Oryctolagus cuniculus: one gene and its partner. The protein of the gene in region 1 interacts with the protein of each later gene in a pairwise test. Links are inferred from orthologs where the notes say so. Each region holds a gene or a part of one and is shown on either strand. Other genes may lie near its edges.

Region 1 (7,334 bases):
TATGTTACACATAAATGTTTATGTTACACACCTGGGCTCTTTTTTCTCTAAGTTCTTGCTGTTGCAGTCTCCTTTTTTCTCGTTTTTCTTGTAATTTTTCTACTTCTTTCACACAATTAGATTTTCTACGTGCTGAAAGAAAAAGATAAGCTATAGAAATATAGTTTTCTTTGTAGAGTACTGTAATTACAAACATTTTATGTGTCCCTTCACCACACAGACCAACAAAGAATACAGTGATGAAGCATGACTTTAACAATCATGTGAAATTACTTATGAGCTGCTTTTAACAAAACTGGGAACAGGACAATATACAAATGAGAGTCAAGAAAAAATGACTCAAACATACTGATACATGTCATCTCTTGGTTTGGGATCACAGATTTTTCATTGAAAGGAACAAGAAACACAAGATTTTCTTCTATCTCACTTGAAAAATTATCATCTGGCCAGAATTTTAAATTCAAAGCAAGTTAAATATTCTAATTTTATATTTACAATTTTTTCTCCAAGATGCACATTTGGAAACTCAATTAACAGACTAAGGTAATGAGAAAAAATTAAATTTTTCACAGTAGCAAAACAAAATCTGCAATCAAGTTTGTAAATGATTCTGTTTACCATTTGGGGACTTATATATAAAGGTGACCAAGAGAGAATACATGTATGTCTAAAATGACTGAATTCTTTGATATGTAATTTACATACAAGGGGGTCCAAATTCCTTTTTTGCAGCTTGAACTGGAGATATATCTGAAACACTACCATTCTGTTGTGCAGAAGACGACTGCTCAGGAAGCTGACTAGGCCGTGCACGTGCAGAACCAACCACTGTGTGTGAAAAAATTTAAATTAAAAAACAGAAAATTAGTAAAATTTGACCTTGGTAAAAAGAAGACACACCTAAAAGAATCTGAAACTTAAATGCTGCATTAGCAGATTACCAAGTTTCCTACTTATATATGCGTTAAGAGAATATAGGCAGTTTCTGTCCAATAAACTGACATAAACTGAAAGAGGTTTTCAAAATACTATGCACAGACTTACCTTCCACCAATGCAATTTTAGCTGTAATACTCAACCTGGATAATTTACATAAAAACCAAAGTCAAACATGATTTTTAATAAGCACTTAAAAATTGATTGACACTATTTAGATATATAGAACATAGAACTGAAAATTCCTTCATTGCTTCCAATATTCCAATATTATTCTTTATTCCTCAAACATAAATCTTCAGTAGAGAATATAGGTATTTCCCAATGTAGATGTTATAAAATTGGAAAAAGGAATCTAAAATTAAATATAAATAACACATTTTACAAAGAAATGCAATTTTTCAGAAGACTCAGATAGTCTTTAAAGGAAAGACTTTTCCTCTACCTCTAAGGTCTCCTCTACTCCCTCTGGCGGTCCTGTTTGACTAGCCAAAGACACACAGAAACATTATCAGAAAGGGTACTTCTGAATGGTTAAATGTAGAAATTAATTACGCTTTACATCTTATGGCTGAATACGGAAGACTTGTAGTTAACTACAATTTATGCCAATTAAACTCTGTAACTGATTCCAAAGCTAACCATTATCCTTTTTTGGAAGCCCTTTAGCCAGAAAATCATGGCAAATGTGAAGATTAAATACATTCTTGGAAATTCTATCAACTGACTCCTTGCCAACTGCTTTCCTTCTCATACACTCTCTTCAAATATACTGAGTAGTTGAAATTAATAAAAGATGACATTTAATGGGGTTTATATTCATCACAGCCATTTATAAGTCATCTTTTTTTATGGACATCACTGCACTAGGATATCAGGAAGATACCACATTTTAAAATGAATCACATAAATTTAAATGAATAACAACATCAAGGATGTTTAAGTAATTTTTTAAAATTTACTTTTATTTATTGAAAGCCAAGAGACAGAGAGGGAAAGGCAAAAGAGGGAAAGAAGGAGACAATAAGATCCTAAGCAACATTCTGAACTCTGCACCACACACCTGTTCCAGTATTTACTTTTGGTTTTCCTTATTAAGGACATACTAAGAAGTAGACAGGCAAATTAAGAGATAAATTTTTACTTTACCTCTGTTATCTCTTGGGGGAGGGTCATTTTTAATAGAAGCCACAGTTCGTCGATTCTACAAAAGAAAAAAAGTTTGCTCTATTTTTTCTCTTCATGCCAGGATTTCATATTCTTTGACAGGCAGAGTTAGTGAGACAGAGAGAAAGGTCTTCCTTCTGTTGGTTCACCCCTCAAATGGCTGCTACGCTGGAGCTACGTCGATCTGAAGCCAGGAGCCAGGTGCTTCCTCCTGGTCTCCCACGCGGGTGCAGGGCCCAAGCACTTGGGTCATCCTCCACTGCACTCCCAGGCCACAGCGGAGAGCTGGACTGGAAGAGGAGAAACCAGGACAGAAGCCAGTGCCCCAACCGGACTAGAATCCAGAGTGCCGGCGCCACAGGCAGAGGATTAGCTTAGTGAGCCGCGGCACAGGCCAGGATTTCATATTCTTTTAATTAAACAAAAAGCAGACATATAGTAAAATAAAATGAAATTGAAAAAAAAAAAAAAAAAAAAAAAACCTCAAAATTTTCTGATGAGTTACTTCCATAGCTATCAAGTCAGGTTCCTTTATATATTTTTCTTCCTCCCCCACACCCAAATAACATTCAGAAATTAATATGAGCCGGGCCCTATTCTAAGGACTTATTATTAACTGTGCTTATGGTGCAGTGGGTTAAAGCCCCAGCTGCAGCGCCAACATCCCATATGGGTGCCAGTTCGAGTCCTGGCTACTCCTCTCCGATCCAGCTATCTGCTATGGCCTGGGAAAGCAGTGGAAGATGGCCCAAGTCCTTGGGCTTCTGCACCCGTGTGGGAGATCTAGAAGAAGCTCCTGGCTCCTGGCTTCAGATCGGTGCAGCTCCAGCCATGGAGTCCAACTGGGGAGCGAATCAGAGATGGAAGACTCTCTTTCTCTCTTTCTGCCTCTCCTTCTCTGTGTAACTCTGATTTTCAAATAAATAAATATTAAAAAAGCAAACCAATAAATCCTTTAAATCTACTCTCCACAGCATACCAATTTCAAAGCAGTGCACACTTGTGTATACACACACACACACACACTCCTTCCTCTAAATTTCATCACACCAACCTTTACAATTTTGTTTACTTTGGATGAAGATGTTGGAGGTGGAGCCACTTCTGGACTGGGTTCAATTTCTTCATCAGGTACGAGGTCAGGATTAAGTGAAAAGATGCTTTCCAGGTCAATCTATTTAAAATTGATATTGTAAAAGAGTATTTTGACAAATTAATCTTTTATTTTTGAAATAAATTTAGACAGAGTAATTCTTAAATGAGTTCAGCATAATGAATGGCATTGCTTTGCAAAATAATTATTTATAATTATAGTCCATATATATTTAAAATATATCTCTTAAAATAGTATATAATCTGATTATATAAATAGCTAACACAGTGACCAACAGAACCAATTAGTTTTACAGTAACTTTCAAATGTTTTGAGTTGGGTTAAAATAGTATATTTCATCTAGTATAATAGGAGTGACATGTGCAATTACAAAAGGTATGTAAGAAAGAATCTGATTGAAAAGTTTAATCATTTCAAAATTTTCAAGAAATTATAAAGAATACACATACTATATGAAAGGTACACATTTTTGTGTTTTCTTGACTGCAGGACTACAAATAGAATTTAACTTAATGATCATACCTCTTTGCCTTTTGTATCTCCATTTTCTATCCATTCAACAGTTACACTTTCATTATCTTCATTTAAAGATGTTACCATTGCTTGATGTATTCGGCCTAAGTGGGAATAAAATACATATTTTTAAAGCTACAAATTACGGCATTCCTAAACACTGTCAGATATATTTTTATAACTTAAAAAATGATTTAATAAATGACTACCGAACACAGAAAAAAATCATAAGCCAATTTAATACTATACTTATATATTTTCACTCATCATTTTTAAAAAATTATTTTTTATCCCATACTGTGCAAACCGATGAGATTGTTTTATATATTCTCAAAATAGTCATTTGAAAGGCAGTGTGACAGAGAGCTAGCGAAGAGACAAAGAACAAGAGGTCTTGATCTGATGGTTCACTCCTCAAATAGCCAGAAAGGCAGGGGCTGGGCTAGTCCAAAGTCAGGAGCACCACCCAAGTCTCCCGCATGGAAGGGGCCCCAGTACTTGGCTCATCTGCTCCTTTCCCGGGCATACCAGCAGGGGGCGGGATCCTGAACCAGTGCCTTGATATGGGATAGCAGAGCCCATGTGCACCTGAGGAGGCACTAGTGATTGCTTGAGTAACTGGGACACTGCTGCCCATGTGTGAGACCTGAACTGAGTTCTAGGCTCCTGACTTCAGCCCGACAAGCTTCAGCTAGCTGTTGTAGGCATTTGAGGAGTGAAACAGTGGATGGGATATTTCTGTGTTTCTGTAATTAAAGTAATAAATAAAATTTTAAAAAAATCAAATGTTCTCTTTTAGACGTTATCTATCTAAATCTATTTTACTCCTTACTTTGCCTGACCACTCCAGTCTTCGCTTTCCCACTCTTAAAAGATTGTATATCTTACTGGTTAACAACTATAGAGCCGGGGCCAGTGCTGTGGCATAGTAGGCTAAGCCTGCAGTGCCGGCATCCCATATGGGCACCAGTTCATGTCCCAGCTGCTCTTCTTCCGATACAGCTCTCTGCTATGGCCTGGGAAAGCAGTGGAAGATGGCCCAAGTGTTTGGGCCCCTGCACCTGCATGGGAGACCCGGAAGAACTATCTGCTCCTGGCTTTGGAATGGCCCAGCTCCTGCCATTGTGGCCTTCTGGGGAGTAAACCAAGCAATGGAAGACCTTTCTCTCTGTCTCTCTCTGTAATTCTACCTCTCAAATAAATAAATAAAATCTTAAAAAATACTATATAGCTAAATAATTTTAAATTATTACCTAATATTCCATTATATTTATCACAAGAATGTTAACCTTTTGGTTTTTAATGTTTTCAAGGTTCGTTCCCAGGAGATTTTTAATTATTATCATTTATTTATTTATCTGAGAGGGGGGAGAGAGAGAGACCCTTCCCAAGTGCCTGTAATTGCTAGGCCTGGACTTTATTCAAAACTGGGAGCTAGTAACTTGACCTAGATGGTGGTAAACCAATCACTTGCACCTTCACTGCTGGATTAGCAGGAAGCCACTGAAGTCAGGTGTGGGGAGCAACTCGGACTAGACTAAGTTACTGGAATTAAGACTTATTCTATGCATCTGCTCTCCCACAATATGGCACTGGGAGAGGAGAAAACAATTTCTACACAGCTGCCTCTCGCCAACTTGACTGATGAGCTGCAGGAGCTGATCTTGCTCCTGATTGGAGGAGAGCAGCGTGCTCGGCGTGTGGGTAGCAGAGTTGGGATTGGTGGAAGAGGACTATAAAGGAGGAGAGAGACAACATGCACCAGGAACATCCGGATAACATCTGAGCAGCCCCCGAGAGAGCCGGCCGGCGGTGTGCCGCTCCCCCGCAGAAGCGGGGAAAGTGGCAGGGGGAGCCGCCCCTCCACGGAGGTGGAGGGGTCGGCAGCCAACCCGGGAAGGACCAGCAGCAAACCCGGGAAGGGCCGAGCAGACAAAAGAACAGCGCAGGGTCTAGTGTCGTTCCTCCATGAATGGGGGAGCGACAGTCAGGAGTCAGGAGTCACCCCTAACCTAACTCTCATGTGAGATACGAGAATCTTAACTGCTACCCTAAATGCCCACCCTGCAATGTTTTTACTATTATAAACAATGCAACTGAGGCCAGCGCTTTGGCATAGTGGGTAAGCAACCGCCTGCATATGCATCCCATATGGACGACAGTTCAAGTCCTGGCTGTTCCACTTCGGATACAGCTCTCTCCTATGGCCTGGGAATCCAGAAGATGGCCCAAGTGCTTGGACCCCTGCACCTGCATGGGAGACCCAGAGGAAGCTTCTGGCTTTGGATTGGCACAGCTCCTGCCATTGTGGCCATCTGGGGAATAAACCAGAGATGGAAGACCTCTCTCTACCTCTGCCTCTCTGTGACATTGCCTTTCAAATAAATAAATGAATGAATAAAATCTATCTAAAAAAAAAAAAAATAAAGCCACTGCCTATAGTGCTGGCATCCCATATGGGCACTGGTTTGAGTCCCGGCTGCTCCACTTCTGATCCAGCTCTCTGGTATGGCCTGGGAAAGCAGTAGAAGATGGTCCAAGTCTTTGGGCCCTGCACCCCTTTGGGAGACCTGGAGAAGTCTCTTGGCTCCTGGCTTTGGATTGGAGAAGCTCCGGCTTTTGCAGCCAATTGGGGAGTGAACCAGCGGGCAGAAGACCTCTCTCTCTCTATCCTTTTCTCTCTGTGTAACTCTGACTTTCAAGTAAATAAATAAATCTTAAAAAAAAAAAACCCAATGCAATGAATACTACTATATATCTGTTATTATACATTTGTCAATTATTTCCTTAGAACAAATTCATAAACATGCACATTTTTACTTATTTCATCAATTTCCACTTATTCTTCTATTTAGCAGTCAGCAAAAGGTAGGAACTCTGTCTATATCTGTATCCTCAATATAACCTAATAAAATGTTTAACACGAAATTTTCATATGAATTTCCTAATGAAATACTTAGGGTACCTATAATTTACTTTAGGATAATTTACAGCTCTTTAAATGTCTAAAATAAAAGATATGCAGGTCCTCCAAAAAGTTTGTGGAAAACTGAATTAGTTTATTTAGGTGTAAAAATGTATATTTATGCATAGTTTTCTTCTTCTTCTTCTTTTTTTTTTTTTTTTTTTTTTTTTGACAGGCAGAGTGGACAGTGAGAGAGAGAGACAGAGAGAAAGATCTTCCTTTTGCCGTTGGTTCACCCTCCAATGGCCGCCGCGGCAGGAGCCAGGAGCCAGGTGCTTTTCCTGGTCTCCCATGGGGTGCAGGGCCCAAGCACCTGGGCCATCCTCCACTGCACTCCCTGGCCACAGCAGAGAGCTGGCCTGGAAGAGGGGCAACCAGGACAGAATCCAGCGCCCCGACCGGGACTAGAACCCGGTGTGCCAGCGCCGCTAGGCGGAGGATTAGCCTAGTGAGCCACGGCGCCGGCCAGTTTTCTTCATAATACACATTTCTTGTGAACTTTTTGAAGATCCTTGTATGTAGTACATAAGACAATATTATTGTAATAAGGCATAGGGTATCATTTAAAATATACTGTAATAATTAATAGTAATTTCATATATAAACATATTTACTAAATTATTACAGTGAAAGATA
Region 2 (8,056 bases), on another chromosome or scaffold:
GGAACAACTGGGACATGAACTAGTGCCCATATGGGATGCCAGCGCTGCAGGCCAAGGTTTAGCCTACTCTGCCACAGCACTGGCCCCTATTTCGAAGTTACTAAAAGGGCTATTTACAGAGATGTGGGCATGGTCGTGGAAATCAACAAGGGACAAGGCAGTACCCCATGGACTGGTAGGGTACCCCAGGCCATTAAAATAAAAGGAAGGAGTGGAGAGGGTAAGAGTACTGAGAAAGTCCAGTAGCCATGTGACTCAGCTGTGGGAATGACCATGACCTTACTATTTTTTGGCCTACAGTGTCCTGCAGATAATTCCCACTGCCAGAACCCATGCCGATACCAAGTAGGACAAAGGAGCCCATTGGTGCAATCTCAACAGGTTAGCCCTCCCTGGCACTAGAGCAGGGGGAGAGGGTGGAGAGTGGATATGGAGGGGCAACAACAAGATAGGTGAGGGTGTTTCAAAGAGGAAGTTATGGGGACACAGGAGTTACTTGTATGCATTTGAAAGGGAGACAAATACCAATTCCCTTCACTGAGTTAGTGGTGCACACTGCAGTCTGATTCTGAACACTCAGTCATCCTCCAGTTCTTCCTTCTCTGCAAGCAAACCATGTTTCCATTAAAAAAAAAAAAGCTCTCCATTAATCCTTCCCCTTTACCTAAGAAATCCCTATATGACTTTTCACTTAAAAAGATGACAATGAAAAAAATGAAGCAACCATGGTTAGGTAGCCCATGTAAATCAAACTTGGGAGAACCAATCCATATTACCTTTTCTCAACTGACTCACCAGTCTTTAATCCATGTGTATTTGAATAGAGAGTAAAATAACGTGTTCTGAGTCACAGTCACAGTGAACTTGTTGATAGGCTTTTGTAAAAGGAGGCAAGGATTACCTGGCAGGACTCCAAAGGGCTGATTACAACAAGAACAAGTTGGTAGTTTGTTTTTTTTTTTTTTTTTTTTTAAGATTCATTTATTTATTTGAAAGAGCTACACGGCGGGGGGGGGGGGGGGGTCGGTCTTCCATCTGATGGTTCACTCCACAATTGGCTGCAACAGCTGGTCTCCTACGTGGGTGCAGGGGCCCAAGGACTTGGGCCGTCTTGTACTGCTTTCCCAGGTCATAGCAGAGAGCTGGATCGGATGTGGAGCAGCCTGGTCTTAAACTGGCGCCCATATGGGATGCTGGCGCTTCGGGCCAGGACATTAACCTGCTGCCCCGTAGCACCGGCCCCGGTAGTTAAAAACACAAAGCTTTACTCATAACAGAGCTGGTAAAAGTGTCCCATCTCAGGGATATAGATGGAAGTAAAATTCTCACTTAATCACAACTGGATTCAGGAGGTGGATAAGGGTCTGATAAATTAGAGATTACTGATATGGAACACAAGTCTTATTGTTTATAGCTGCTGAATAAATAGATTATTAGCCTTAGGGAAATAATTTAAGTTAAAAACAAAAAGTGGGTAAAGCCGCTGCCTGCAGTGCCGGCATCCCAAATGGGTGTTGGTTCAAGACCCAGCTGCTCTGCTTCCAACCCAGCTCTCTGCTATGGCCTGGGAAAACAGTAGAAGATGGCCCAAGTCCTTGGGCCCCTGCACCCACGTGGGAGACCCTGAAGAAGCTCCTGGCTATTGGCTCCTGATCCAGGCAGCTCTGGACGTTGTGGCCAATTGGAGGAGTGAACCAGCAATGGAAGACCTCTCTCTCTCTCTGCCTTTCTCTGTGTAACCCTTTCAAATAAATAAATCAATCTTTAAAAAAAGCGAAAAGCAAACAAAAAAACACCCCGTAACCTCAAATTTAATGTGATTTAAGTGAAACCCAAGGGAGGTGGGAATCCCAGACATTATATGTGCGTGGTTTGGCAGCCTTAAAGGAACCAGGAAGAATTCCTCCCAAATCCTTACAGGGGTGGGGGAAGGGCTGAGAAAAAAAAATCTGATTGAATTGAATCTCTGCTCAGAGACCTTGTACCCGCACATAAACATTAACTCATAAATAAACGCACATAAAACCAGTATCATGTCTAACTGAATTTGAGAGCCATACAGAAGCTCCTATCGGATTTATCATCAAAAAATTTGTACTACTTTAAAATTCATTCTAGTGAAAAAATATAATTCGTCATCAAGTGTTAGTCCTTCAAATTATAGGGATACTGAATAAAAAAGTTCAAAAGCGAAATATTAGCTGTTTCACACAAGGGCGCTTTAAAAATATTTCAGTTTGTGGGTGGGAATCAGGGCAGGGAAGTGCAGTAACTCAAATTTCGGGGCAAAGGTTTCATAAACAATTACCTACAGATAACACCGCTTTCACTGCGTTCCTGGCTCCAGATTCCAGGTCACCGCGATGCCCCCGAAGCGCCAGGGAGGGAACTTTCACCGCGCTAAGGCGCTGGGCGCAAAGGGCACAGCGGCCCGGTCGGAGACCCCGGCCCACGCGGGGGCACCCGGTGCTGGTGGGGGTGGCGGCCAGCACCGCCCCAGCGCCCTTCGCCCAGGGGCCACTCGGTCCCGGAGCCTAAGGGCAAATCGCCCGGCGGCTCCCCCAGCGCCACGTGCGCCACCCGCCCCGCACCGCGCCCGGGTGGCGGTCGTCGCCGCCGCGGGAGCCGAGCGCGAGCCCGCCGGCGAGTCATAGAGGGCCGGCGGGCGCCCCGCCCCTGCGCTCACAGCCCGGGCGACCGTCACCCGCGAGCCGGGAATCGCCCGGTGCGCCCTCCTTCCCCTCGGCGGGCCGCTGGGCGGGGCCGGCCCTCAGGGCGGGCGGCCACCTCGCGCAGCGCGGCGGCGGCGGCGGCGGCGGCCGGGGTCGGGGAGCAGCCACGTCACGCTCCGCGAGGAGGTCCCGCCCCGCCCCTCGGCCCGCCTCCGCATGCCGCCGCCCCGCCCCTCGAGCAGTTACCGGCGCGAGCGGCTTGCGCCTCCAGACGCCGCTAAAGGTCCTCCAGCCCGGCTGCCGGCTCCTCCGCAGCTGCCCGCGCCAGGTGAGGGCTCGCGGCTCCCGGCTGCGGCGCCCGGCGCGTGTTAGCTGGCTCTGGGCGTGCGCCGCCGACGAGGGCTGGGCCGGCGGGCGGTTAGCGCTCCGTTCGACGCGGGCCGGCACGCCGGGCGCTGCGCGGCCTCGGCGGGCGGCGGTGGCGGCGACGGCGGCCGGGCTCTCGGGTTCTGTGCCCCAGGCCGGCGCTAGTCGGTGCCCCGGCGGAGCGACGGGCACCCGGGCTCCCTGGCCCCGGGCCCCCCCCGGCTGGGGTGGCTGGGGCAAGGGGACGATGTCTGCTCGCGCCCCGGTGCCCGCCGTTCACTCTCGGGAGGATCCGCCCGCGGCGGCCGCAGAGAGGGAGTCGCGGTTGGCCGCGGCAAGCCGGCAGGCCGAGCAGCCGCCCCCGCCGGATCGAGACGGGAAGGAGGCGGCGAGGGAGGAAAGGGCCGCGGCCAGCACCAGCGCGGGGGCGCGGGGAGAGCCGTCTCCGGTGCCAGTGCTGGGACACAGCGTGCCCCAGGCGGCCGTGCCCGTGAGGCCCCTGTCCCTGCACCTGGCGCACAAGGCGCGCGGGCCCGGGGGCCCCTTCGGCGGGGAGCCGCTGCCACCGCCGCCGCGGGAGCCGCCGGCCGAGGACGCCCGAGATGAGGCGGCAGCGGCCGGCCCCGAGGAAAAGCTGCCGCCGCCGCCACTGCCACCACCACCGCCGCCGCTGCCGCCTAAGGAAAACCCCTGGACCAAAAAGCCTCCCCAGCACCTGTCCCCCGCCGGGACGGGCCCGCCGCCGCCCCCGCTGGAGACTCTGGAGGCAGGTCTGTGGCTTCTCCGCGGGGGGCTCGGGGAGGGTGCGGAGGGGCGACTCCTGGACTTGGCCGCGCGGGGCTGGGGGAGGGGCGGGCCCGGCTTCCCTGTCAGTCGAAGGTATTTCTTGCCAAGGTGTCATTCACGATACCCATTTACATAAATGGACATGTGGGAAGGGAGCGACAGGAAGAGGTGGGACCTCAGGTTCTCTTTGACTGATGGGGGCACGGAGGGGGTAAACTTGGCAGCGCGGCCCCGCTGGCGCGGCCCAGAACTGTGTGAATGAGTGACTCGGTAAAGTAGCTTTAACTTTGGATCGTCAGCGCGGTTCATTCTAGGGGGGAAATTTGGGCGGATTTGTAAATAGATTTACAGCAAGTTGGAGCAAAGGAGATTTATTTCCAAGTGGAAATGCGATTGTGATGTTTTGTTGATAAAACGGAAAAAAAAATCAAGGTTTTCAGAACACTGCTAAGGAGTCATTGAACATGAGACCCTGAGTGTGGTGGCTCATAAAGTGCTTTGGGCGATGATTGTGAGTGAAAATAATTGAAACAGGATAGTTTGACACAGGAGAGAGAATTGCACGTTAGGGAAATTGTGATCTAACATTCTGTGAGCTCTTATTCCCTTTTGAGATTAGATTGTGTGGTCAGCATTTGAATGCTGATCTATGCAGTATGGCCCTTGGTGCTTTATTTTGGTTGCAGCAACTACCCTGGTTGTTTTAAAAATGGAAAAGCTAGATAAAATGAAAAGGCAGTGTCTTTCATTTTTGCCATGTTAAATTATAATGAATTAATTGAGCTTTTGTGTAGACATAACAGCTGTTTTCTTGCAAGGCTTTGCTACTTAAATTTAAAGGTTAACAGTGGAACAGAAAAAAATTTGAACACTTTTACGGGGTTGTGAGAATCAAATGAGATGAAGGATGTGGTGGTATAAAACATAAGGCGGTTGTTGTAAACCCACGTTTCTTCCCAGGAACTCCAGTAGAGGGAGATAAGTGTTGACTTCACTGAATTCTTTAGTTTTTGTACAGAAATGCACTTCCTTCCTTCGTTGTTCATTAATTTCCATAGTTGGAGCAAACATTAAAATTGGCTGTAGGTTTAATATTAGTGTAATTCCCTGCTGCCTGTTACTTATTGAAGAGAGTAAAATTTAGCAAAGAAAGCAAAATCTGAATGGCTGTCTTACCTCCCTACTTCTAACCTTAATTATACATTATATCGGGTAAACACCAGAAAATGAATTCTTGATTGGTTGTAAAACCAATTTTACAGGTTTTAAGACTTAAAAGTGACTTGGGGGTTTTAATTGCAAATGATTGGTGAAAATATTTCAGTTTAATGTCCTAACAGGTGCCTTCCTACTCCAGTGTTCATTGAAGATTAAGAATTAGGTGATCCTTGATGTATGGTGGGATTCACGAAGTTTCGGTTTTGTTGATGTTTCTGTAGGAAACACTTTGTGTCTTTGGAATCCATTCTGTGCACCCAGGAATACTGTTACTCTTACTGGAAGCAGTGTATTAACTATAGTCTTTGTCCAGTGTGGCCTGCACTGTTCTACAACTTTTATTTGCAGTTGAGTAACTTAGCTAATTTAGATAAGAGGTTGTGATGTAGGAATGCACTGTGCTGAGACACTTGGGTACTCACTAACTAGTTGACTTCTGGCAAGATTTTTGGGCTTTGTAAATGGATAAGTTTCCTAATACCAGAGAACCATCTGTATATTTACCTGTGTACTTTAACTTCCTATTTTCCTAAACAAGTTTATAACTTCAAGAATAAAGAAGGTTATTTAGGGTTTAGAGTAGGTACAAACCAAGAAGTGTTAAATTAGTAATTTATTGGTAGGGTACTTGTAAAAGTTAATCTACAAAACAGAATACTCAGAAAGGGAAGCATATTAATCATGCTTTAGCAACAGAGTTAAGCCAGGTTTGTTTTGGCTGAACGGGGACCTTCTGTTATTCTGCTAATGAGGTAAAGGAATTCTGTGCCCAGAATTTTGCCAGAAAATTTATTACCGAGGTTGGAAACATAGGGGAGTATTTCAGGGGATAAATCTTGAATTTTCTCTGTATTAGTACCTGCAGACCTAAATGAAGTGGGCTCTTGATATCTTTGTGAGACTTTCTTCCACTTGTAGGGTGTTCTGGAGTGTATTGATGTTGTTTAGAGATCCAGGGAAGGCACTCAGCCAAAGCCTGACCCATCTGAGAGGCTTAGTGCCCTTGCTGTCTTGAATTCAGTTAGGAGACCAGAAAGAACTTGGCCTAATCTGTGTCTTCATGTTGTGTTAAAATAATTTTATTTATATTGGAGACTTTTTAAAATCATAATATGGAATTTATTAATCACTTGTAGCTATGATTTTATTTTACATGTTAAAAATCTGCTTTCTAATTTCCTTTCTTTCACTCACAAAAACATAATATCTAAAAATTTTTTTCTTCTATTTCAGCTTTATTCTATTTTGATCCTATATTGATTGCTCATTAATTCTCTTTTCTCCCAATGTCTACTTCTCAGAAATCTCAATTATGTTACTCTTATTACTCTAATGAAATAACAGTTAAATTATGTAAGTAATCCATAAATATATTCTATAAAAATAGAACTTCGGATGTCCCTCTCCTTCAAAGAAAGTAATCACCCGTTTACCAAATATCTTTTCAGGACTTCCTATGACGTTGCTTCTAAATATGTTCTGTATATGTGTTTAGAACATAAAATGTCTATTTTTTAAGTGTTAATTGATCCTTTTTAATCTAAATTTCTTTCAAAAATTGCAGAAGAGTAGTCCATTAACTTAGCAAATAGGTTCCATTTTCTTATTTAAATGGAGACAATTAGCATTTTTATGCATACCTCTTGGGATGCTGGTATGCCTTTGTCTAGGGTAGATGCTGAGAAATGGAACAGTTTGGTCACAGGGCTGTTCTATGCAAATTGATACTTTTACTATATGGGAGTATGAGAATGGAGTCTATACATTGTTAAACATTTAAAACACTCACTGTGGTGGGGCTGGCACTGTCACATAGGGGGTAAAGCCACAGCCTGCAGTGCAGGCATCCCATATGGGCACCAGTTCAAGTCACGGCTGTTCTTCCAGTGTCCTGGGAAAGCAGTATAAGATGGCCCAACCAAGTCTTTGGGCTCCTGCACCTGCTTGGGAGACCTGGAAGAAGCTCCAGGCTCCTGGCTTCGAATCAGTGCAGCCCTGCCTGTTGGGGCCATTTGGGGAGTGAAACTGCAGATAGAAGACCTCTTTCTTTACCTCTGCCTTTCAAGCAAATAAATCTTTGGGGGAAAAGAATTCACTATGGCAAAAGGGCACTTTACCACATTTCCCCCCTCAAATGATAAAATCATGTGAAATACTATCAATGCTTTTTTTTTTTTTTTTTTTTTTTTGGACAGGCAGAGTGGACAGTGAGAGAGAGAGACAGAGAGAAAGGTCTTCCTTTTGCCGTTGATTCACCCTCCAATGGCCGCCGCGGCTGGCGCAATGCATTCTCTTAAACTCTGCTGCACTGAAGTTTTCGTTTAGAGAATTGAAGCTCTAAAAAATTTCCCACAGTTTAAGAATAATGTTTTAAAGATACTGGAATATTCCTCAAAAAAGCATCTCATCCAATGGTTTTTAAAAGGTAGACACATGTGGGTAACACAGCATGTGTATTTTATATATATTTGGAGGCACTGGTACCTTAAATTTGTTTTTAGGTCTGTCTTTTTTTTTTTTAAATTGTTGTATTTGAAACAGTAGCACACACATACACGCAGATTTTCCTTAAGGTGGTTCACTCCCCAGTTGGTCACAATGGCCAGGAGCTTTATCTGGGCCTCCCATGTGGGTGGCAGGGACCCAAGCTCTTGGACCATTTTCTGCAGGTTTTCCCAGGCATATTAGCAGGGAGCTGGAACAGAAGTGGAGCAGCAGGGACAGAAACTGGAACCCATATGGAATGCCAGCTTTGCAGGTGATGGCTTTATACACGGGCTATAGCACCATGCTGATACTTTGCAGTTCGTTAAAGTTGTATTCGTATTTATACTTTAGGTATTGGATTTTTTTTGTATTTTAAGATGTATATATGTGCATATGAGAAGAGTATTTCATTAAGAAAAAGTAGTTGCAGTAGGAAAACATATAGGTACAGAGGAGAAAACAAGAAGCCTGTGAGCAAGGAAAAGACCTAAATTACTAATAGAGAACAGTATTTGTCTAAACATTGT

Evidence for each region.
Region 2: the proteins of KIF2A (region 1) and LARP1B interact in binary tests that used the Homo sapiens proteins (3 or more experiments, as listed by UniProt). The two-hybrid records come from large-scale screens. The link is inferred for Oryctolagus cuniculus from reciprocal best matches to the Homo sapiens genes KIF2A and LARP1B.

Annotation. Positions count from the first base shown.
Region 1 is NC_091445.1:83,170,554-83,177,887, reverse strand, and holds part of KIF2A (kinesin-like protein KIF2A), read right to left. Parts: intron 3,838-7,334; coding exon 3,743-3,837; intron 3,281-3,742; coding exon 3,161-3,280; intron 2,144-3,160; coding exon 2,089-2,143; intron 832-2,088; coding exon 709-831; intron 133-708; coding exon 32-132; intron 1-31. UniProt on the Homo sapiens protein: Plus end-directed microtubule-dependent motor required for normal brain development. May regulate microtubule dynamics during axonal growth. Required for normal progression through mitosis. Required for normal congress of chromosomes at the metaphase plate.
Region 2 is NC_091439.1:36,674,903-36,682,958, reverse strand, and holds the start of LARP1B (la-related protein 1B), read left to right. Parts: upstream 1-3,000; 5' UTR 3,001-3,285; coding exon 3,286-3,808; intron 3,809-3,989; exon of another isoform or gene 3,990-4,094; intron 4,095-7,217; exon of another isoform or gene 7,218-7,800; intron 7,801-8,056.